Linked DNA regions of Styela clava. The protein of the gene in region 1 purifies or fractionates together with the protein of each later gene. This does not show direct contact. Links are inferred from orthologs where the notes say so. Each region holds a gene or a part of one and is shown in the gene's direction. Other genes may lie near its edges.

Region 1 (7,850 bases):
TATATGTTCGCCTGTTAGCCTACTTTTCTGACAGATAAATTTGCTTGAAATATAATTTCCCATCTTGCCACAATATCGCTTTTAAAATTTTGAAACGCTTCTCAATTTAAGGTTAAATATTCACGCAAAAGAGGAGACAAATAAAATTATTGAAAAACGGTATGCTAGTAGACCTGCGGCAAGAGCTCAAGTCAAATAGATAATATATTATTTTATACACTCCAGATAATTATATGTTCTTGTAAACTTGATATACGCCGTTATACTTCATTCCAGGCATATAGTACATTTTTTGGATATTATTTTGGCAATGTACACCTTGTTAAAAAATTTGCGATACGCATATTTTAATATCATGACATGTACCGCAAAAATAGTGCAAGTTTCTGTAGTATAATTTGTATTGTAGTTCTGTGAGTTTGTTAAAATAGGTTCTGAGCAAGTAGCGATACTTTCACCAGGAATTTTATAATAACTTAATAATAAAATGTGTATCTGTTTGTTTAATATTTTGGTCTTATTGGGTTGTTGATTCATCGAGTTGGATGACTTTAACCTTAACTTCGTATATGCTGACCATACCGCCGAGCCAAGTTATCTGAGAAACATTTGCGGATAATTAAATTTTCAGAAGACTGTTCATTCGTTTTGCCGATGCGAAAGTTTGGTCCGAATTAGTGAGCATCGTTTTTTTTTAATCAGCTGTTTAACGATCACAGGTTTAAATCACTTAGTTAGGATCATACAGCGATATAACTCTGGACACAAAATGGCTGGTGTGACGTCACCTGAGCCATTATAGCTTGTTCCCACCAAAGTGACTGTAAACCAAGTGAGGACATGCATTGGTAACGTTATAAGCGCTGTTCGGTAGGTTCATTTTCATACAAAACTAAAGAACTTATATAATCCCCAGATGTGCGCTACGAAACTCACTTTCTAATCGTTTTTCAGGGCCTAGTTTCACCACAGAGAATGATAATGTTGACCCTCTATAGTTTCACGGCCAATGTGCATTGTTTCCGGTCTGAAAGACTGCGTGAATTGCAATTTTACGTCATTGTCGTCTTATTGCTGACAAGAAAATACCTCCATTCCTGATTTTGGTTTGGGTTCCATTATTCTGCAGGGGTTCTCAACCTGGGGTTCGCGAACTCCCGGGGGTTCACGAGAAGATTTCAAGGGGTACGTGGATGGCAGTCGAGTTTTTGTGTGTTGCTGTTTTTTGATATCCTTTATTACTATCAGAGGAAAATGCGTGCCGATTGAAACTGGATGCCAATTGAAACGTGATTTTCCCCCCGATCTTGCGTTGTTGTGATTGTGACGCAACAATGTGAAATTCACGGCTTCGCTGAAGGCAAACTGAAATTTCCAAAGACAGCGTGCTGCGAGCATTGGAGAAAGTGATGCGTGAGAGGGATTTTAAGAATTCATTGGTTGGGCGGAGGACTAGGGCAATAATAGTAACAGGGGAAGTAAATTTAGTTACATCTGGTCAATAAATTGTTTTTTCAACAAATTGTTAGTCAATATATCACAAAATTGTTTGGATGTCAGATTACCGGGGGTTTGCGTTGATTGTTTCGTGACTCGGTGGGGGGGGGGGGGGGGGACGGACCAAAAGTAGGCACTTGCAAATTAGGCACTTTTTTAGGCACTTATTTAGGCACTTTGGAAAAAAAGTAAAAAGGGCGTAATACCTTTTAAAAACATAATTAATTAGTTAAAAATGGTCAAATTAAATGTTGAAAACGCAAATTGCAACGGGCAAACTCAATAGCAATATATAAAACGCAGTATTAAAGGCAGTCGCACGCGCTTGGTCACCACATATGCTAGGCGCATACTTAGGCACTTCGAAAAATAAATAAAATGGCATATTCACTAATAAAAGACTGAGAAATAAACATATTACCCACACTGATTAGCCTGAGTAAATATCTAAGAGATGTACTTAAGTCTAGTACTGGAATTTAGAAATAATAAATTGTTACAGGTAGGCACGTTTTTAGGCACTTATTTAGGCACATCGAAAAAAAGGTGAAATGGACGTAATAACTCCTAGAAAGATAATGAATTAGTTCAAAATATTTAACTTAAATGTTGAACGCAAAAATTGCAACAGTTAAACCCAATACTGTAATGATTTTTAAAACGTAGTACTAAAGGTAGACGCACGCGCTCTGTCACCACATATGCTAGGCACATATTTAGGCACTTCGAAAAATAAAGAAAATGGCAATTATCACTAATAAAAGACAGGGAAATAAAAATATTACTCACACTGATTAGCCTGGGTAAATATCCAATAGATGCACTTGAGTCTAGTACTGGAATTTAGAAATAATAAATTGTTACAGGTAGGCACTTATTTAGGCACATCGAAAAAAAAGGTGAAATGGGCGTAATAACTTTTAAAATGATAATTAATTAGTTAAAAATTGTCAAATTAAATGTATAGTACGCAAATTGCAATGGGTGAACCTAATAACAATATTTAAAACGTAGTATTAAAAGGAGTCACACGCGCTCGGTCACCACATATGCTAGGCACATATTTAGGCACTTTGAAAAAAGAAGAAAATCGGAACTATCACAAATAAAAGACAGAGTATTAAAAATTTTACCCACACTGATTAGCCTGGGCAAATATCCAATAGATGCACTTGAGTCTAGTACTGGAATTTAGAAATAATAAATTGTTACCGGTAGGCACTTTTTTAGGCACTTCGAAAAAAAGGTGAAATGGACGTAGTAACTCCTAGAAAGATAATGAATTAGTTCAAAATATTTAAATTAAATGTTGAACGCGAAAATTGCAACAGTTAAACCCAATAACGATTTTTAAAACGTTGTATTGAAGGGAGACGCACGCGCTCGGTCACCAAGTATGCTAGGCACATATTTAGGCACTTCGAAAAATAAAGAAAATGGCAATTATCACTAATAAAAGACAGAGAAATAAACATATTACCCACTTGCAGTCTAGTACTGGAATTTAGGAATAATAAATTGTTACCAGTGGGCACTTCGAAAAAAAGGTGAAAGAAACGTAGTAACTCCTAAAAAGATAATGAATTAGTTCAAAATATTTAAATTAAATGTTGAACGCGGAAATTGCAACAGGTAAATCCAATACCGATTTTTAAAACATAGTATCAAAGGGAGACGCACGCGCTCTGTCACCACATATGCTAGGCACATATTTAGACACTTCGAAATATAAAGAAAATGGTAATTATTATGGATAAAAATACAGAAAATAAAAATATTGATCAAAATAATTAGCCTATTTGAATATCCGATGAATGCACTTGAGTCTAGTAGTGATATTTGAGAATAATAAATTGTTACCGGTAGGCACTTTTTAGTCACTTATTTAGACACTTCTAAAAATGCGTAAAATGGGCGTAATACTAATAACTTTTAAAACGATAATGAATTAGTTTAAAATATTTAAATTAAAAAATTAATATGCAAATTGCAACAAGTAAACCCAATGATATCGGTTTTTATATTTTGCATATTTGAAAATATCTTAATTCTTTACTTTGTAATTTTGTTTTTGATAAATTAAAATATAAGACATCCCCCGAAAATAAGCCCTAGTGGTAATTTTAGGAAGAAATTTGAAATAAGACACTGTCTTAATTTCGGGGAAACACGGTAAAAGGTGTCTACCGGTAACAATTTATTATTCTCAAATACCACTACTAGACTCAAGTGCATCTATTGGATATTTACCCAGGCTAATCAGTGTGGGTAATATGTTTATGTCTCTGTCTTTTATTAGTGATAATTGCCATTTTATTTATTTTTTGAAGTGCCTAAATATGTGCCTAGCATATGTGGTGACCAAGCGCGTGCGACTGCCTTTAATACTACGTTTTAAATATTGCAGTACTAGACTCAAGTGCATCTATCGGATATTTACCCAGGCTAATCAGTGTGGGTAATATGTTTATGTCTCTGTCTTTTATTAGTGATAATTGCCATTTTATTTATTTTTCGAAGTGCCTAAATATGTGCCTAGCATATGTGGTGACCAAGCGCGTGCGACTGCCTTTAATACTACGTTTTAAATTTTGCAGTACTAGACTCAAGTGCATCTATTGGATATTTACCCAGAACCCTTGCATTATTGCGACATTCAGTGCTACCAATGACAATTTCTGTATTTTGTACCATATTTTATGCAGTTAGCATCAGATCATTCAGTATCATTTCTCCATTTTTGGGGGTTCGCGTTGATTGTTTCGTGACTCGGGGGGTACCGTACTTGACAGAAAAAAGGTTCAGAACCCCTGCATTATAGCGACATTCAGTGTTACGGTATGGCGCTATTTCTGTATTTTGTACCATATTTTATGCAGTTAGCATCAGATCATTCAGTATCATTTCTTCATTTTTTTTTACTTTCTGCAGTTAACGGTTCAGATGAGATGGTTTATAACTTTTATGCGCATAGTCAAATTATACGGTAACTCTTGTTCTAAGGCGATTTTCTGGATATTCTGTGGGAAGATACGGTACCGGCAATATGACTACCGGTATAAGTGTAATAAGAAAATCCGGTAATCACTTTGGGTGCCGGTAGGTGACAATTGGGGATCGTACCGTAATATATACAGGAATATGACGATAATGGAAATACTGTAGAGCAATGAGAATACCGGTACCAGCGCGGCGGTGTGGCTCAACGGGCAAAGCGTTAGGGATACGCACGCCACAGCACCTCTAATTACTCCTGTACTCTGCGTGGGTTCGCAGGTTCGAATCCCATGCAGGGATGGGTATGTGCGAGAGGATTGCTGGACTCCTCGTCGTCGTTGGGTGGTTCACGTAACCGCTGGTCGGTTACGGCTTCCTCCACCACCAAGTCCATGCTTCCGAAAACAAACAATACAGCAATATAACTAATCCCATACTCGACTTGGAATGGTGACCGGACGAGAGGCCGTGGTTCGCCATATGGATAAGCCGTCTTATCGGCCTCTCCCCCGGGATAAATATGTAAATCCTATCCTACCTAACCTGAGCGATCTGACCATCGATAGGCTACGGCCGTCCGAACAGCTCCTATAATGTTCGAAGCAATTGCAGAATTAGGTATAATAATGTCGCAGTGAGCGGTACCTGTAGTTATTATTATAAAGGAAGGAAGCAGTTATAAATTCCAGAATTTTGCATCTTGAGAGATTAAAAAAAAGTAATATCGAGAAACAAAATGTAAAGTTAGCCTGTTCTTACCGTAATTGAATATTTTAGAATTTGGCATCCTCCAAGTCCATGCGGTACAGGTACTTTCGAAAACATATCATTGGCTAACTAAAGCCATAACCGACATGATCAGGGGTCACCATGTGATTAGGCTGTCATATCGGCTTTCCTCTTCCTCGGAATAAATATGTAAATCCCATTCTATCTCGGTATCCCTAGTTAGACCAGTCTCAAAATTGCTTGTTCTGGGTATTTTTCACTTTTTCTAACATTTTGTATGTCCAACTGAAAATATTAGCTAACTACCCTAACTATTTTGCCACTTTAGAAGTACTGAAGTAACAATGACTTACCGTTGATCCATTATTCTGATACCGTATTGGTTGCATTTTTTCATTCTTTGATGTATGATGGCATGAGGCGCAGTTCTTACCACTTCATGGCAGCTCCTGCCACGAAGATGTATGATGGCATGAGGCGCAGTTCTTACCACTTCATGGCAGCTCCTGCCACGAACGAACCGCGGCATCACTTGCCATGGTTTTATAGCGCTATTCAGTAATCAGTATTAACTGTATATTCACAAATTCATGTACCGGTACCAGACATTAATTAATCATGCGGAATTATATCTATTTAAACCCTAACCCCAAATCTATCAAAACTGTATCTATAAGAAAAACGTTCCAACTTACCCAATATTTGTCACCGTAAGTGACAGCCCTGTCCTTATGGCCCACCTGCCGTGGTTACGACAGCAAAATTTTACCTGCCATTCAGCCATTGGTTTTCAATTTGCTGCCGCGGTAACGGTAGCTCGTCATTGGTTTGTGGCAGCAAAAAAGTCGGTCGCCATAGGTTTGGCCATAGCGGCCATGGTATGGAAATACCGCCATGGTTTTGCGGCAGCTGCAGACGCCACAGAATACTTAAAACTGCACTTGGATGGCATTGTGCATGAGAATGGGCATCTTTAATATAGATTCGTTTCTTAATTAATTCCAAATTTTCTGTTAAAGATGCGCTGAGTTTGCCTTACTGATTTATATGCTTCTTGGCAAACAGCAATTTTGCACCTCCTTGGGTTAATCTCCTTGTCATTCTATGGGTCGATGAAAAATGCAAACAATACCAAAATTTTACTACTTATCCATACTATGTTTTCCGAAGAAATGAACGCTCTATGATGAGTACCTGAAAAGCAAATAAAAATAAAAATTCCCATGTGTATCGTTTTTGTTATTATGTTGCTGTTATTGTTAGAATTCTTTTTCTCATTCTTGTTGTTGCCTTATGAAAAATTATCTTTTCTAAAATTAATTAATGGACCATTGTATTCCTCATATATCCAAACTTATTTTTATTGATTTTGTATTTGTGCTGTATTTCAGTCGGACACAGTTCTCGGATTCCAATAAAACAAACATTCTGATTGTCCCTGAAATGAGGGTGTCTGACATGATGGCAGATCGTGCCACGATTGGCTCAATAATAATTTGAATCAATCACAACGTGCGTCAACCATCACATGACCAGAATTGCTTTTTATGCTAGAAATTCTCGAATGCTACCGTAATTATTTTTTCTTTTGTTGAATCAGATTATTTCTGACGTTTCTAGATTGTGCTTCGTTTCAGTTTATTGCACAGTGCTCGTTCGCCGATTTGTGCCATTATGGAGACCCAGACTGTCTCATAAAGGAGGGGTTTGCACTCATTGGTATAATTGATGTCTTTCAACGTGGGGGCTATTCTTGGAATCAGAGATCTGTATTTAGTTGGTGGAGAATAGAGATATATAGTGAAAAAAACTGATGCTTTTTGAGACCATTTTACATCTGAGTATCTAACTGTTTGTGAATATTTTTTATTTGTTCAAATTTAGAGACTGATCTAATTAATGTATCACAAGTTAATGAAAAAAATCTAGACATGTCAAATCAGTTTGACAAAAAGGATGAACCTGGGGTTAAACCTTCACCACCAGGTTCACAGCATTCACAACATGCATTGTACGCTCGGCGACAAACACCTGGCATTCTTCATGGCCAACAAACTCTCGTATCTCTGGTTCACGGACCAAATGCGAGCACGTATCGGGATACAACCGCAGAAAGACCTATCATTCCCAATTCTACAAGTGTTGCAATATCAACCACAAGATTCGGTGTTCCATCTTATAATCGTCCACCTACATTGTCACAGCAGGCTACAATTTCCCAGCCATTATGTTTACCCTTGCAACCACAAGCAGTAATGCAGCAACCCTCAGAGAGCCTATCTCAACAGCATCATATGCCACACCAAGCTCCGATTTTGCACCACCCGGTCATTGCGTCTGGACTTCTTGGTCATCTTTCTCTTCCACAACTTCCTGCATCATCGCAGGCTCAGATCCAAGCTCAACAACAGCAACAACAGTCTCAGTTTCAGCGCTTAAAAGTCGAGGATGCACTGTCTTACTTGGACCAAGTTAAATTTCAATTTGGAAACCAACCTCAAGTGTACAATGATTTTCTGGATATCATGAAAGAGTTCAAGTCACAAAGCATTGATACACCAGGTGTTATTCAAAGAGTCTCTAGTTTATTCGCAGGACATGCTGATCTCATTGTTGGATTCAACACT
Region 2 (7,755 bases), on another chromosome or scaffold:
TGAAAAACCAATGGATTTACAAACAATGAGAGATCACCTTCATAAACATTCATATTTATCTAGAGCAGATTTTAAAGAACATTTAGATCTGATTGTCAACAATTCTAAAATTTATAATGGTGTAGACAGTCCATTAACAAAGACTGCTATTCATATGACTGATTATTGTGACTCAAGATTCAAAGATTTGGAAGATAAATTGATGCGCCTGGAGAAAGCAATAAATCCTCTGCTTGATGACGATGACCAAGTTTCTTTCAGTTTTGTTCTTGATAATATAATCAGTAATAAAATGATGACCATTTCAGATTCATGGCCTTTTCATAATCCTGTCAATAAGAAAATTGTGCCGGATTATTACAAAGTTGTTGATCATCCAATGGATCTCGGCACACTGAAAAAGAATGTTCAGAAACATATGTATCAAAATAGAGGACAGTTTATGGAACATGTTGAGCTTATTTTAATTAACAGCTCAAAATTCAATGGCGCTGAATCAAAATTTACTGAAACTGCTCGACAAATCGTTGATGTTTGCAGAAATACACTCGAGGAATATGATGAGCATTTAACACAGCTAGAAAATGATATTGCTGCTGCAAAGAAAGCGGCAGAAGAGGAAGCAGAGGCTGGAGCTGATGACGACGTTGTCATGGATGAAAACAGCATGGACATTGGTGTGGATGAAGATAGTAACTCCTCCTTCACTGCAATGCAGCAAGATGACAGTAAGAGTAATACCATGTTCACCGACATGGAAGATGAAAAAATAGATGTGGAAAGTGATGTTCCCACTTCATCGAATGATTTTGTTTCAGTCGCTGCAGCTCAAGCTCTCGGAACTCAAAACGACTCTAACACAGCTGATGGCATCGAGGCCCAAGAAGGCAAGAGTCTGCTTTTGGAAGATTTGCTGATGTCGGATGGAGAAATGTCTGCAAGTGAGGATGAGGAAGGCAATAGTGAAGATGAAGACGAAGCAAATCCATTTGCAAGATCTGAAAGTGAGGGCAGTGATGATGATCAAATGAAGGAAAGATTCCAAAAATACTCAACAACAGTTCATCAAGATGAAGTTATCAGAGATAGTGCCCCAGACAATGCAATGGATGTTCCCTCTGATTTCAGAAGTAAAAACAAAAGTTCAACTAAAAAACAATCATTGACTCTGAGTTCAGAAGGCGAGGATAGCGAAGCTGGCAGTTTTGTATCTGTCGGTGGAGAAGTTGTCAGCGAAAGTGAACTCTCTGAAACCTAAATATTATGTCCTATTCTTAATTATTATATTTTTCACCAAGAAATCTAATCATTTTGTATCTAAAAATGAACACTTAACAAAGTATTTTGTTTGTATCTACCGTAATATTATGTGAAGAATGATGAAAATGTCTTTTGGGGAAATATCAAAAAAGTTTCAAAAGCCCAATGCCATATTATGACAAATGATTATAGTTCAAATTCGAAGTGCATTTTCATTTGTTACCCTGCTCAATATCATTAGGGAATTCCATATTAATCTCAGGCAATGGCGGTATAGTGGCAATATCAGGCTATTGCAGACGTTTGTATCATATGCCATTGGCGTTCCACACCTCACATTCTTTGTTGCAGATGCAAGGACTTGGTGGAGGAAGACGTAACCAACCGTTAGTATAGTGAAGCACTCGCTCAACGGCTGTAGGAAATTCAGTCCTCTGGCACGATATAACCCCACGGGATTCGAGCCCACGCAAAGTAATAAGAGGTGCGATGGCAAACGTATTTCTATAAATTGCATGATGTAAGAACAGGTACCAACCGCCAGTGTCAATCTCGAACTGTCAACTTAGTATTTTATGACGCTAAGATTACTTTGACTACTTGAAATAGAACGCACACTTGCATACAATTAGCACCAATATTGGGGGAAACGAGTGATGTCTTTAGTAGGATTTTAAACACTAATGCTCGTTATCTTACGAATGGGCACACAGAGACAATCTTATCAAAGAAATTATCTGGCGTACTGGACCCCCATCCGCACATCTGATTACTCTGCGTGGGTTCGCATTTTCGAATCCCATGCGGGGATAGTTATGTGCGAGAGGATTGCTGGACTACTCGTCAACGTAGGGGGGTTCACGTAAGGCTGGTCAGTTACGGTTTCCTCTACCACCAAGCCCATGCGTCCGAAAACAAATAACTAACTAATCCCATATCCGACATGAACTGGTAATCGGACTAGCGGCCTTCCTCTCCCCTGGGATAAATATGTAAATCTTATCATATTAGTTTTTTAATGTTAACCTAACGTCAGTTGCTTATTCCGGCATCTGAATCCTTGAATAAAACACAAAATGGTTGTAAAATATATCGAGTGAATGAAGGACCCTTTGTGGCCATAGCCAGGCCATGCCCCACCTCTAAAATATTCAGCTGTTTAATGCAATTTCGAGGCATTTGTGATGAGACATAATAATCCTTGCTCCGAATACCCCAACCAGATAGATGAAAATGCTTGCTTATATATATATAACTTGAACAGCGAAGTAAGCCCGTAGAGAGATTATTTAAGATATTGTCTTCTAGCAGTCTTTATCTCGCCTTGGTTGGAGCAAAAGGCACGAGTTAGCGTCGCATTATGTCATTATAAAAAAATTGGTTCCCCCTCCAAAAAACAATTTTTTCATCCTGGGACCTTTCATGTAGGCTAATTGTTTTCTTCATTGCAAATTGGTAAAATATGTGTACAATCAACAAAAAGCTATGTGATTTAAAATTAATTTGAATTACATGTTGGCGATGTTTTTCATGGTCGCACTTTCACCTTTACCTCAATAATTACGATCTATGCAGGAAAATTCCCACTAAAAAAGTGGACAACTCTAGCCGCTCCATTAAATTACAACCAGAAATAGAAGAACTTTGAACATAATTTCAAGGCACTTCTTTAAAAACATTGATCTCACAAAGACAAATTGGATATAATCAAAATTGAAGAAACACGTGACTTAACTATAATATAAGGAAGATTCAAAATGTGAAGTTTCATTTTAGAATATTCTATGCACTATTTAATAATACATTGGCAGTAGGCCTATAACTTTCAGAATTTGTTGCCATTTCCTTAAATTGGTTTAATCTTAGCTTCATGCTTCATTAAAAAGAGGAATGGTTTGATAAAATTATATAAGTTTTAATTTGTGTGTACAATATTTTTTTTCACTTCACTTCGTTTATATGCTATATTTATCGATTATCCAACATTTTGCGGTTTTGAAACATTTCCGCTATTGCCGTATTTAAAACTTTTGGCGCCTCTTTTCATTTTCTGATAATAATTGTATGAACAGATTGAAATTTTGCGTTCAATGTCCTTACTATAACAGACCTGATCCTAATCTATCAAAGATTTTCAACTTGTATGTCGTAAAATGATGTAGGCCTATGAACGAACGATAGGTCGTCAACTGGTCATATATGATTATCCGTATCAAATGTGTATATATTCTCACTGCGGTACCCGAACCAGCGATATAAATACGATATTCGATCTCTATCACATAAGTAGAATACTTTTTTTCATTAGGTTTTTAGCTTTTGTTCTACTTAATATTGATAACTAAATTTCCAAACCATGCCGTTGTTCCATATTTTCTTCAAGCTAATGAATTAAAAATAAAAAAAATCGTATTACTGTTATGCCCATAATTCATATGTCAAACCATATTTACGGTCAAACTGTGATTTACTTCACACAACATATTATTGTTGCTTGTGGAACTTTTCTTTGTGATATTGTGACTCATCTTTTATATTTTAACTTGTGTATGCACATAAAAAGATTCAGGACAGATTGAATGTGTGGATTAATATATATACTAATTAACTAGTATAATAATATATTTGGTATAGAATTCTTAATTCTTGGAATATTTGCTTTAAAAAATTTATTCAAATAATTCCCTTATCCCGAATAGACAAATTTATCTCTCCTATAATCAAATATTGTTTTTTTTGCACATAGTGTATATCGTTTTTTTTGTTATATTTATTGAGAGTGTGGTATAACCGTAAGTATAACAGAACCTGTGTTATTAATTTGTTTGTTAATTTGCTTGTTTTGGGTGATAACTGACTCAAATGACCGTAAATGGTTGTATCGTTACCACCCAGTCATCTATCAAAAACTAAATTTTCTCAATTTGCTATCATATATATTTAATCGTTTTCTGGTTTGACGAAATAAATAAGTTCTCTCTCTCTCTCTCTCTCTCAAAAGCACTGCTGATATTACGATCTGGCAACGCTACATATCGTTTAGTTTCCTCCGATTGTCGCTGTGGTGTGGTCTGCGCGTCTGTCTCTGCGTGAATTATTTGTTCGTTTTTAAAGTATTTCGGTTGAAGGAATGGCGCTGACGAATCCAACAAACAGAAAAGTTTGCTATTATTATGATTGTAAGTATATTTCCAAAATTATCCAGGTAATAGCTGAACTATTCACTTTTTATAACTTCGCTTGGCTTTGTCGGAGGTACGTGTGCCAGTAGAGCCCCGTGCAGTAATTACCATGTTGGTTCATTATTTCATTTTTACTTTAAAACTGTGATGACTGTGTGATATACGTTTGTCGTATTTAGTGGAAATATACAACATTACCAAATATTAATTCATAATGATCAGAAACCAATGTTTATTTCTGGAATAACTATTCTCATGAAGAATGAGTCCAGACAAAAAGATGTGGCTTTCAATATGATTAAACTGCGTTGTCAGATCTTTTAGTCTCTTTGATACGATATGAAATGCAACTACAATCTTGTCTCGGCAGTATGACACATCATGCCAAGTGTTAGGAATACGCTTGCCATCGCATCTCTGATTATCCTGCATGGGTTCACAGGTTCGAATCCTGTTGGTTATAATTATGTGCAAGAGTATTGCTGGACTCTTCGCTGTCATAGGGTGGTTTACGTAACCGCTGGTTGGTTATGGTTTTCAAATATTCCATTTAATTTTCATTTATCAATTTTGTTCGAACAGCTGATGTTGGAAACTACTACTATGGCCAGGGTCATCCAATGAAACCACACCGAATACGCATGACCCACAATCTACTTTTAAACTATGGACTGTATCGAAAAATGGAAATTTTTGTAAGCTAAAAATTTTGTACACTCACATTTATAGAAATATGCCTCCAAATAGAATTTGAAAATATTGCTAAAACAAAATGTCACTTCGAAAACCTCACGAATCATATTTTTAGTTTGATATATTTGTTTGAATATTTTTCCTCTTGTATATAAAAAATGAAACAAATTTATATTGAGGTACCTATATTATTAAAATATTGGATTTCAAACTTTTCAATGAATGGAATCATTATTTGTGTAATGCATTTTGGGTGTTGCAACCAGTAACCCATGTTTGGCTCCCCTTCCATTTGTCAAACCCAATAATACAGTGGCCATAAGCTTCTCTAATTGCAGGTCAAAAATATGGTGAATTAATAAAATTCATAGTCAGTGCATTGTTTATTCTTTAATCTATTTCACAGCGACCACATAAATGCAACAGCGATGAGATGACAAAATACCACAGTGATGATTACATAAAATTTCTGCGCAGCATAAGACCTGACAACATGTCTGAATATACAAAACAAATGCAGAGATGTAAGGATTTTCTAAGACTATTTAATAATACATCTACACTAAATTTTAATCATATTGTATCTTTGAGTGTGTAGTGCAGGGTCGTCCTACCTGTGGCCCACAGTCTACATGTGGCCCACCAAGGAGCTTTGAGTGGCCCGCGCTGTATTTTCGAAATTAAATATAAAAAAAAATTGAGTAAAACTTCCATTTTCAGAATGATGTAGTTAATATGAAGATTTGATACAAACAATTTGTTAATTTTCCTGAAATGCGCTCTGCTAGCCCTTTCAAACGAGCCATGAGTGCCATTTTGATTCGAAATCAACTGGAAGGTATCGATACATAAATAGTAGCTTACACACTTGGGCACAGATGAACCATGTCAAATCCCCTGTGAGATCACTAATTTCTGAAAGTCATATGGAAAATTCACTTCGCATTGCTACATCGTTCATTTCAGCGAATATTTACTAACTTGTTAGCGAAAACAGTGCCAAACTTCACACTAAAATATCTATGTGTAGAAAAAACTTTGTTGACTTTACTGTATCTTTGTTTTTTTATTGTTCTTATTAGTGAGAAAGTTTGGTGCGAGGGTTTTGTTTGTTTTTTATTAACTTTTAGTCAGTGTAACAAAACTAGAACATAATTACCATGTTAAGTGGCCCACGCAATTATTAGTAAACTAAATGTCGCCCGACGGCCAAAAAGGTTGGTCGACCCTGGTGTAGTGTGTGGCTTTGTGAATTTTTGGGACAATTATACCTAAGAAAGCATAATTTGAAACCCTGTGATATTGCTTCAAGAAGTGTGATAAATTTTTTTTTCAGTTAATGTCGGAGAAGATTGTCCAGTTTTCGATGGACTTTATGAATTTTGTCAGTTATCTGGTGGTGGATCAATTGGTAAGTCTAATATGTAATATATATACATACAAGTATCATAGCATATTAGAGCAGAATAATAAGTCCTATATTAGATGATTTGTTATGAAGATGTGTACAAAGTAAAGTGGTTGTATTGGAATAACTATATTGGCATCACTGGTTTTGAATAAATCTAGCTCAATCAACACATTATTTAATTTAAGGCCAAATCTCACCCTGAATGTAAAAGCTTTTCAGACTGAAAAAAATTTCTAGGCATCACCAGCTTCTCACCATTGTGTTTTCTCATCATTCAGCGAGTGCTTGTACTTTATTCAAAAAGGAGATATTTATACGATAAGTTATAAGATAAGTTCAATATACCAAGTCTTTCATCTAATATTCTGTCTGGTATTTTTATAGCTGGAGCTGTCAAAATTAACAAGCAGCAAACTGATATTGCAATCAACTGGGGAGGTGGACTTCATCATGCTAAAAAATCAGAAGCTTCTGGTTTTTGTTATGTTAACGATATTGTGCTTGCTATATTAGAACTTCTAAAGTGAGTGTAGTGAATATGAATTGTTGATTTTTAGAGATTATTATTGAAACAATAATTTTAATGAGAGTACGGTAATCAAATTCAAACTGTAACCAAATTATCTAAATTTCATTTTTTTTTGTTGAAATCACAGTCAAATAAAATAAAAGTGATCTATTTAGATTTTAGAATATTCAAAATTAAAATGAATTGAAATCAAGAGTTTCAGAATACCAATTTTGTTTTATGTGTAAGAATATACTGAGACAAAAAATATTGTGTATAGGTATCATCAACGTGTTTTATACATTGATATTGATATTCATCATGGTGATGGTGTGGAAGAAGCCTTTTATACAACTGATAGAGTTATGACAGTTTCATTCCATAAGTATGGTGAATACTTTCCAGGCACAGGCGATCTCAGGGTTAGTATAGATTTTATGCTTATACTTTGTATTGCGCATTGTAATGCATGATTTGTAATCAGTTCTAGTGAAAGTTTAAAATAAAATCTTTTGAAAACCCATTGTCCATTGAATTGTTCGACTCTTGAGTGGCCATATGGCCATATCCTATGAGATCCAAACTTCACCTAGAAAGTTCATTAGAAGAACACCGATATAGAACTTGGTGAAATATAGAGCTATAAAAGTCATTTGTATGTATAGTTTATCATACTTGAGACATTTTCTTATTTCAGGATA
Region 3 (8,485 bases), on another chromosome or scaffold:
ATTCTTTCTTCACAGGTAAATGACATTTCAGTGCAGATGAACACAGCAAATAATAATGAGAAACTTTGGCAGGTCAAACATTTAATCAGGTATTATGATTTTGCTCAGTTCTCGTGGTGGTAAATTCAATTAGGAAGGCCAAATAATACAGACTATTGTCGTATGCTAACTTGCTAAGTACCATCAAATTTTCAGAATTCATCCAATTCAATTTCCAAATGGCCTCCCAACTAAAGAGGACATAGGTGGGACACATTTAAAAAGTAATGGTGAACTCATCATCTTCAAACGATTGGAAAATCCCGAGAACGAAAATGTCCTTGCACCAGAATTAAAACAAGAGCAGTGGAAAGTTGTAGATGGGTACAGGATGTGCAACAACTGTTCAGCCAGACGATGTATCAAATTACAAATGTGTCAAAAACTCTGGCGACAACGTGGCAGAAATCATCTGGAAAAAATTGGTCCTAAAATGTTCAACTATGTAGATCCACCTGAAGCCAGACAAACTAGTGATGCAGAAGGTGGTGGTACTTTATGACCAAAAGATCGTTTCTCAGCATCATCATGCGATAGTTAGTCCATCTTGCTGCAGTTCATGGCTTAGCTGTGTTTGGAGGTCACTGAGCTTTTTCTTAAGAACAGAGAGCCCTGACAGAATGATGTTCTCTGGTTTTATGGCTCCTGTAGATTCCACATTGACGAAAAATTTGTTTGCTTTGCCATTCGGATCAAATCTGAACAAAAATAAATTTAATGGCTACTGTAGCTCATTGTGGTTTTAATAAAACCAAGCCACGACAACTTACTCTGCTTGATGTCTATCATCATCATCTGTGAGATCACTGTGTTCGCTCCTAGGCCATTCTTCGGGTTTTGGATAAGTTGTGTGACGAAGTGCGTTATCTGGGTCATATTCGAAAGCACATGCACAAACTGTTTGCCATTTAGCATGTTCCTTTCCTATATTTATATTGAAGTTTCATTTATCCAACGAATGTTTCTCATCGAAAGCATTATACAGTAGACAGACATTAAGAAACCCGCTTACCAAATCCCTTTTTAGCATAAGCTTTGAATTTTAGGCATTGTCCTTTTCTTAATTTAACAATCAGTATGTCATCTTGTTCTCCATAATTTTCAACCTCGTCTCCTCTACTTCTCGATGTAACTGGAACAACCTTAGTTTAACATGCAAACGGCATTCAATTCATTTGTTACACAAAATGTTTATGTTTTATGCAATCACTATTAGCCAGCAAAATAATGGGAATGTTTTAAACTGGAAAAAAATATTTGGATATGATTATGACCGAGACATTGGGTAGAAAAGTCAGATAGTGTTTGTTCATTCCATAATAAATAAATGTGTATTTCTCATGAAACTGCAGAATAAATAAAATAAAAAAATAGCATCTAATGGATAATTTTGATTTCAAGAATACCATTTTACCTTTGGATTCATGGATATTAAATCACGAGTAGTAACTTGTCGCGTGCTTTCACTTGTACATTTGACATCGAGATAAAATTCCACTGAACATTCTGGGCAGAATTCATCGCACATACAATCTCTTGAGTACTGAAATCAGGATAAATACGTTCTTCAGTAAAATAAAAAATGATCACTTTGGTTTGAATAATCTTATGTATTAATTACCGTAGTACATCAACTAACCAGGTATGATACATAGAATGAGGAACAATGAGAGATAGAGAACAGACAAAATGACCTAATCGCATGGGCTGGCTATAGGTCCCGTTCAAATATGCTTGGTTGAATTTTACTTATTGCTATTTACCTGAATTTTGTCCACTATCTCATCGGATGTTAATGGAATCAATCCAATCCTATGTGATAAAAACTCATCATTCAATACTGAAGAATTTTCCTCAATTTGAATCCAGTCAATCGCAAGTGTGGGAACCTTAAAATATATTTAAATAGAGTAATGTGAGGCGGGCAGTCACAACAAACAAACAATTTTTCAAAGAAACATGTCTCATATAGAATATTAGAATGGATAACACTTCACTACTTTTTAATTCACCGATAGTCCAGTTCATAAGATTGAAACATGAACTCTAGTAATCTTTATTGTTGAGTCTATGCCATGCTTATAGACATTTGTATTTCATGCATGCGTACAGGTAGAAGAATGAAGTTATTAATGAATGAGTTATTAAAATGTGCAAAGGTTAAAAGTTGAGGATGACTCTGGGATAGCTTAGGAGTTGACGACTGTAATGGCCATGGAAGCAAATAGAAAGCGAGTGTCGGGTATGACTAGACAATGTGATTTATTGTGCTAAGTATTAGAAATTCGCTCGCCACCGCACCTCTGATTATCCTGTGGGAGATAATTATGTGCAAGAGGATTTCTAGACTCCTCGCCAGAAAAGGGTGGCTCCACGGCTTCCGATATGGGCAATAAAAAAATAAGGTAATTCAGCAGCTAGGGTACCGGTATACCCTTAAAGACTGTGTCGGAGTACGGTATCTCTAAGTCGTTCTATGTTACAACAAGATAGGACTTCAAAATTTATCCAGGGGGAGAGGATAGTCGATAAGACAGCTTTTTCATATTGAATTGCCTACATCACGTTAGTGCATTTATGTGGCATGTTCAAAACTCATATCAAGTTTAGGATAGGATAGGATTTACATATTTATCCCGGGGGAGAGGAAAACCGAAAAGACGGCTTATCCATATGGCGAACCACGGCCTCTCGTCCGGTTACCATTCCAAGTCGGGTATGGGATTAGTTATATTGTTTGTTTTCGGAAGCATGGACTTGGTGGTGGAGGAAGTCGTAACCGACCAGCGGTTACGTGAACCACCCAACGACGGCGAGGAGTCCAGCAATCCTCTCGCACATAACCATCCCTGCATGGGATTCGAACCTGCGAACCCAACTTTGGTTTAGCCAACTCTCCGGGTTCTCCATCCTGTTCCTCTCGGTTACCGGTATCAGAAATTCTCACCTCTGCAATAAATACCCGGCGGAGTGAATTTGCAACACTGAGATCTGTATCTTCAATAACAAATTTCACATTGTCTTTCGTAAGTTCCGTGATTGCGATTGTAGGCTGATTGGCGTAAGGCATTGTATTGTTTGTCTTCGATTTGTCAGCGCTAAACCCAGAATAATAAAAAAGCACACAATCGAACCCCTCAATATACGCCCCTGGAAAGAACAGAGCAAATGCAAAATTCGTACATAATTACAATTTGCCGGGTTGCATTTTTTCTATTTTCTGCTGAAATAACTTTTTTCTCATCTTAATGCGTCATTGCCCTTTTTCTTCTTTGTGTTTACGGACACCAAGTGGTCACGTAGCGAAAATGGCGACGGATTGTGCTCAGGGTCTTGTGCGTCTAATATTTTTCCTTTCTGTGTGGTAATTTATTTTAGTTAGAATAATTTTAAGTTATATTTTTGCCATGGATTAAATAACCGTTCGGCAGATTTTTCCTGGTATGAAAATCAGCGTAGAAATAATAATGTAGTAGATCCAATTTTGGCGATATGTCTGTGTGTGCGAGAATCTAAAAACTGTTTGGATTTTTTGCATTTCGCGCAACAATTTTGTGTTGAATTAAATAAAGTTTTTGGAATGTTTAAGTTTAAAAGGTATGCAATCTGATTGTGCGCGTTCTCTCGTGAGATCCTTTATATACGGCGATGTTGTGACTGTGTGATGTGTATTTAAATTCATCTACGATTTTCCGACGCCGTTCAGTCAGTCGTTAAGGAAGCGTAAAAATGCTATACGGGGTACTGAGATTTCTGAATTTATCGCCTTCGTTTAGCTGTATATACTGAAATTGTTGCTTCCTTATTATCTAGTATGAAATTTGCTCTTAAATACCTGCCTCAGCAGTGCAAAAGTAAAACATTTTTATAATATTAACCAGCATGAAGGATGATAAACACAGACCACCCTTATACTTCAGTACTTTGAAATTTTGAGTTTAGAATTGGGTTGAGTTTAGGCATAATCATTCGTAATATTAGTCAATTATAATCTTAATCAAACAAATTCAGGAGTTCGTTGATTTTAATAAAAATTTGCTTTCCTCATGACTGGTGTACCAATTCCATCTTGGTAATTCTTGTCAAATTTACTAAAATTTGGTGTAAAATGGAATGTTTACAACCCGAATCATGTCAACACATAAAAATTAATAAACTACAGATGAAAAAAGTATTTCTGTGATTGGATCAGATACCTTGTCCCACTTTGTAAGCTCCTTATTTAGGCTTCTGCTAGTTAGCCAAATCAACATATCAGGATGAATGATCATTTTTAAATATCACTAAATTGAATAATCTTTGTTCCAATAAATTGAAGTTGTAAGAATATTTGATGACAGTGATGGTTGAATATTTTTCCGGCTTTATTCAAAGCGAAGTTGTCTCATGGAAATATACAAAAACATAAAACTATTTACCGGTAAGCCTACCGGTACATGATATTCAATGCAAATGATGTATTGACAATTTAAATTTTTAGTAAAGCATTTTGATATCTTCTCAATGTGATCAAATTCTTAATTTATGTACAAGATTGTGCAAATACACAACAGAATTACAACTCAACCAAATGATTTTGTTTTTCAATTGACATGCTAAGGAAATTGAAATATCTCTTCCCGGCTCGGCGGTGTGGCGCATCATGCTAAGTGTTAGGAATATGCTTGTCACCGCACCTCTGATTACTGTTCGTGGGTTCCGATCTCATGCAGGGTTAGTTATGTGCAAACGGTTTCCGGACTCCTCGCCGCCATAGGGTGTTCATATAACCGCTGGTCGGTTACTGCCTCCTCCACCATCAAGTCCTTGCTTCCGAAAACTAATAACTGGCTAACTAATCCCATCCCGACATGGACTGGTAACTTAATGAGAGGCCATGCTTCGCCATATGATTAGGCTGTACTTTCCTCTCCCCCGGGATGAATATGTATATTCTATCTAATTAGATCCATATTAATTTTTCTGAATTTTGTTTTCATATTTAAAGATCTTAATAAGCTGCTGTATGTAAAAATTCAATATGTTTGATGATGAATTCTTTCCTCCTCCAGAGGCTCCAGTTTTTGAGCCAAACGAAGAAGAATTTGCTCATCCACTTGGATACATTGCTAAGATCAGACCTATAGCAGAAAAAGCAGGCATTTGTAAAATACGGCCTCCACCTTATTGGCAACCCCCATTTGCTATTGACGTAGAAAATTTCAAATTTACACCGAGAATACAGAGACTTAATGAATTAGGTATTCAAACTCGGATTCGACTTCAATTCATTCAGAAAGTAGCTAAGTTTTGGGAATTACAGGGTACTACATTCAGACTGCCACACATTGCCGGCTCTCCTTTAGATTTGTATGGTCTCCATGAGACCGTAAGGAAATTGGGGGGATTTGAAGAAGTCTGCAAGAACCGCCAATGGAATGCCGCATGTGTAAAGTTAGGAGTTGCAAAAAATTTTTCTGCAACAATAAAACAACATTATGAAAGATTGCTGTATCCATATGACATAATGGTTTCTGGCGTTCTTCTTGAGAGCCTTGATGGCTCTGGGAAACCACTTCCAAGTTTTTCAGGAAGATATGGAGGGAATAGCAAGGTAAAACCACAGAGAGAGCAAGAAGATGAAAGTGAAGCTGCCCGCCAGAAAAATAAAAGAAGAACTATAGATGATCCATCTCTTGTTGTAGACGTATCAAATAACAAAGAACTTGCCAAATTGCAGCTTTTTGGTGCAGGCCCAAAAATGGTAGGCCTGGGATTAATTGCTAAGAGAAGAAATCGAATAAAATCAGAAGAGGCAAATAAAAAAGAAATTAAAAGTGAACCTGCACCCGCTACTATCAAAATAGAACCGAAGAATGAGGATTGCAAAAATATATTTGATTTGATGGATTACAACGGGGAAATAGAAACTAAGATAAAGCCAGAAACTGCAATTCCTACCGCAACAGTTGACACAACCTCAATAAACACACGAAAGAAGGGTTCAGAACAGCTCCCATACTCCATTCTTGATACAATGGGTAATTGTAAAGTTTGTCTGAAGGATCACAATGACACTCAACTTTTACTCTGTGATGGATGTGATGACAGTTACCATACCTACTGTCTGATTCCACCATTGAACCAAGTTCCCAAAGGGGATTGGCGATGTCCAAAATGCTTGTCTAAAGAATGCAACAAAGTCATAGACGCTTATGGTTTTGAACAAGCAAGAAAGCAATACACACTACAAAGTTTTGGAGAAATGGCTGATGCTTTTAAGTCAGAATATTTTACAAAACCTGTTCACATGATCCCCACTGAGTTGGTTGAAAGAGAATTCTGGAGATTAATTGGATCAATAGAAGAGGATGTTGCAGTGGAGTATGGCGCCGATATTCATGTTCTTAATCACGGAAGTGGATTTCCTAGAATGTGCGACAAAGAGAAACATCCACTTTCTGCTGAAGAAGAGGATTATGCAAAAAGTGGATGGAATTTAAACAATCTACCAGTTGCGAAACAATCATTACTAAGTTATATGACTGGTGACATGTCAGGAATGAAAATACCATGGGTTTATGTCGGTATGTGCTTCTCTGCTTTTTGTTGGCACATTGAAGATCATTGGACATATTCTATCAATTATCTTCACTGGGGAGAACCAAAGACTTGGTATGGTGTTCCAAGAGAAGATGCAATCAAACTGGAAGAAGTAATGCAAAATACCGCACCTGACCTATTCAAGAACCACCCTGATGTTATGCATCATCTTGTAACCACTATCAATCCTTCAACTCTGATGAACAATGGTGTGCGAGTTGTCCGAACTAACCAATGTGCGGGTGAATTCATTGTTACCTTCCCCAGGGCATATCATGCAGGTTTTAATCAGGGATATAACTTTGCAGAAGCCGTGAACTTTTGTCCAGCTGATTGGATACCTATTGGCAGACAATCTGTTGCTCACTATCGCGCAGTAAAAAGAGCATGTGTGTTTTCACACGAAGAAATTTTATGTAAAGTCGCCAATAATCCTGACGTTTTAGATGTTCAACTTGCAGCTGCTGTTTACAGAGATATGCTTGCTATGCTGCAAGAGGAAAGAGAAGCAAGAAAGAAACTTCATGAGCTTGGTGTATGTCAAGCTGAAAGGGAAGCTTTTGAGGTTGTACCCGATGATGAACGTCAGTGTTTCATCTGCAAAACAGCATGCTTTTTGTCCGCAATTACATGCCCATGTAGACCAGATCACCTTGTCTGTACGTTCCATGTCAACAGGCTCTGCAGCACTTGTGATCCAAGTAAATTTATACTTCGATATAGATACACATTGGATGAATTACCTCCATTGCTTCATAAGATGAAATTGCGAGCGGAGTCTTTTGATACATGGACTACAAAATTAGGCGATGCGTTTTCAAGATTTGAAAACAAGTATACATTACACGAATTGAAAGAATTGCTTGAAGAAGCTGTGCAAGGGAAATTTCCAGAAAATGATTTGCTGCATCAATTGCAGTCAGCTGTACGGGAAGCCGAAAAGTGTTCACGAGTTGCCCAACAGCTTGTTGTGGTTAGAAAGCACAGGACTAGGCAAAAAGAAATTCATTCCACAGCTGGTATTATAACTCATCCAAATACTTGTTTATTGACGCTGGAAGAAATAAGGGCTTTTTATCTACAACTATTAGGTTTACCATGCACAATTCCAAACTTGGATCAGGTTTCTGATTATATAAAGCGAATTGAAAAATTTGTTACTCAAACTGAAATTATTCTGCAAGAGGAAGAACCTTGCAGTCATAACATTGCTGTTTTGATAGAGGATTCACTAGATTTTGATCTGGAACTTCCACAGGTGACGTTACTACACCACGCACTACAACAAGCAAAGTGGTTAGAAGAAGTCAGATCTTGTCTCCTTTTGGACGATGAAATAAATGATTGTGATCCTCCACCATCATTGATAACATTGGAGCAATTAAGGAAGTTGATAGATTCTGGAGTGTCTGTGTCACCTAGGCCTGCTGTTGAACGTGCAATGGCTGAGTTGCAGGAACTTCTCAATCTTTCAGAAGCATGGGAGGATAAGGCTAAAAGCTTTCTCGAAATGAAGGAAAAAGGCAGTCTAAAAACAGCAGAAGTTATCACATCCGAGTCCCAAAATGTTCCAGTGCAACTTATACATTGTGCTGAGCTACAGGAAGTGGTTGAAAAAGCAAACATTTGGGAGAAAAAGTTGCATACCATTCATAATCAGGATTACTATCCATATCTTGAGGTTTTGGAAGCTCTCCTTCTACAAGCAAATTCTATGGAAGTCAAACTGTCTCAGTTACCAATTTTAAACACACAAGTTGAAGCAGCACAAGAATGGAAAGAGAGAACTTGTCGAGCTTTCCTAAAGAAAAACACAATATTCTCTTTGTTTGAAGTATTGAGTCCTCGTTCTGCAGAAAATAGG

What was found. Proteins that work in one complex are often made in the same cells at the same time.
Region 2: the proteins of paired amphipathic helix protein Sin3a-like (region 1) and histone deacetylase 1-like purify together in Drosophila melanogaster (affinity purification with western blotting; 3 studies listed by BioGRID, with this or other methods). This does not show direct contact. The link is inferred for Styela clava from reciprocal best matches to the Drosophila melanogaster genes Sin3A and HDAC1.
Region 3: the proteins of paired amphipathic helix protein Sin3a-like (region 1) and lysine-specific demethylase 5A-like purify together in Drosophila melanogaster (affinity purification with western blotting; 3 studies listed by BioGRID, with this or other methods). This does not show direct contact. The link is inferred for Styela clava from reciprocal best matches to the Drosophila melanogaster genes Sin3A and Kdm5.

The regions. Positions count from the first base shown.
Region 1 is NC_135250.1:15,215,290-15,223,139, reverse strand, and holds the start of paired amphipathic helix protein Sin3a-like, read left to right. Parts: upstream 1-4,620; 5' UTR 4,621-5,643; intron 5,644-5,700; 5' UTR 5,701-7,154; coding exon 7,155-7,850.
Region 2 is NC_135257.1:9,276,214-9,283,968, forward strand, and holds the start of histone deacetylase 1-like, read left to right. Parts: upstream 1-4,279; 5' UTR 4,280-4,390; coding exon 4,391-4,439; intron 4,440-5,024; coding exon 5,025-5,137; intron 5,138-5,541; coding exon 5,542-5,659; intron 5,660-6,471; coding exon 6,472-6,546; intron 6,547-6,930; coding exon 6,931-7,069; intron 7,070-7,334; coding exon 7,335-7,476; intron 7,477-7,751; coding exon 7,752-7,755. Other genes in the region: transcription initiation factor TFIID subunit 1-like, read left to right, coding at 1-1,258. UniProt on the Drosophila melanogaster protein: Catalyzes the deacetylation of lysine residues on the N-terminal part of the core histones (H2A, H2B, H3 and H4).
Region 3 is NC_135263.1:18,251,659-18,260,143, reverse strand, and holds the start of lysine-specific demethylase 5A-like, read left to right. Parts: upstream 1-5,009; 5' UTR 5,010-5,059; coding exon 5,060-8,485. Other genes in the region: uncharacterized protein LOC120341062, read left to right, coding at 16-89, 196-541; DNA-directed RNA polymerase II subunit RPB3-like, read right to left, coding at 566-737, 810-963, 1,052-1,181, 1,454-1,582, 1,803-1,928, 2,987-3,109. UniProt on the Drosophila melanogaster protein: Histone demethylase that specifically demethylates 'Lys-4' of histone H3, thereby playing a central role in histone code. Does not demethylate histone H3 'Lys-9', H3 'Lys-27', H3 'Lys-36', H3 'Lys-79' or H4 'Lys-20'.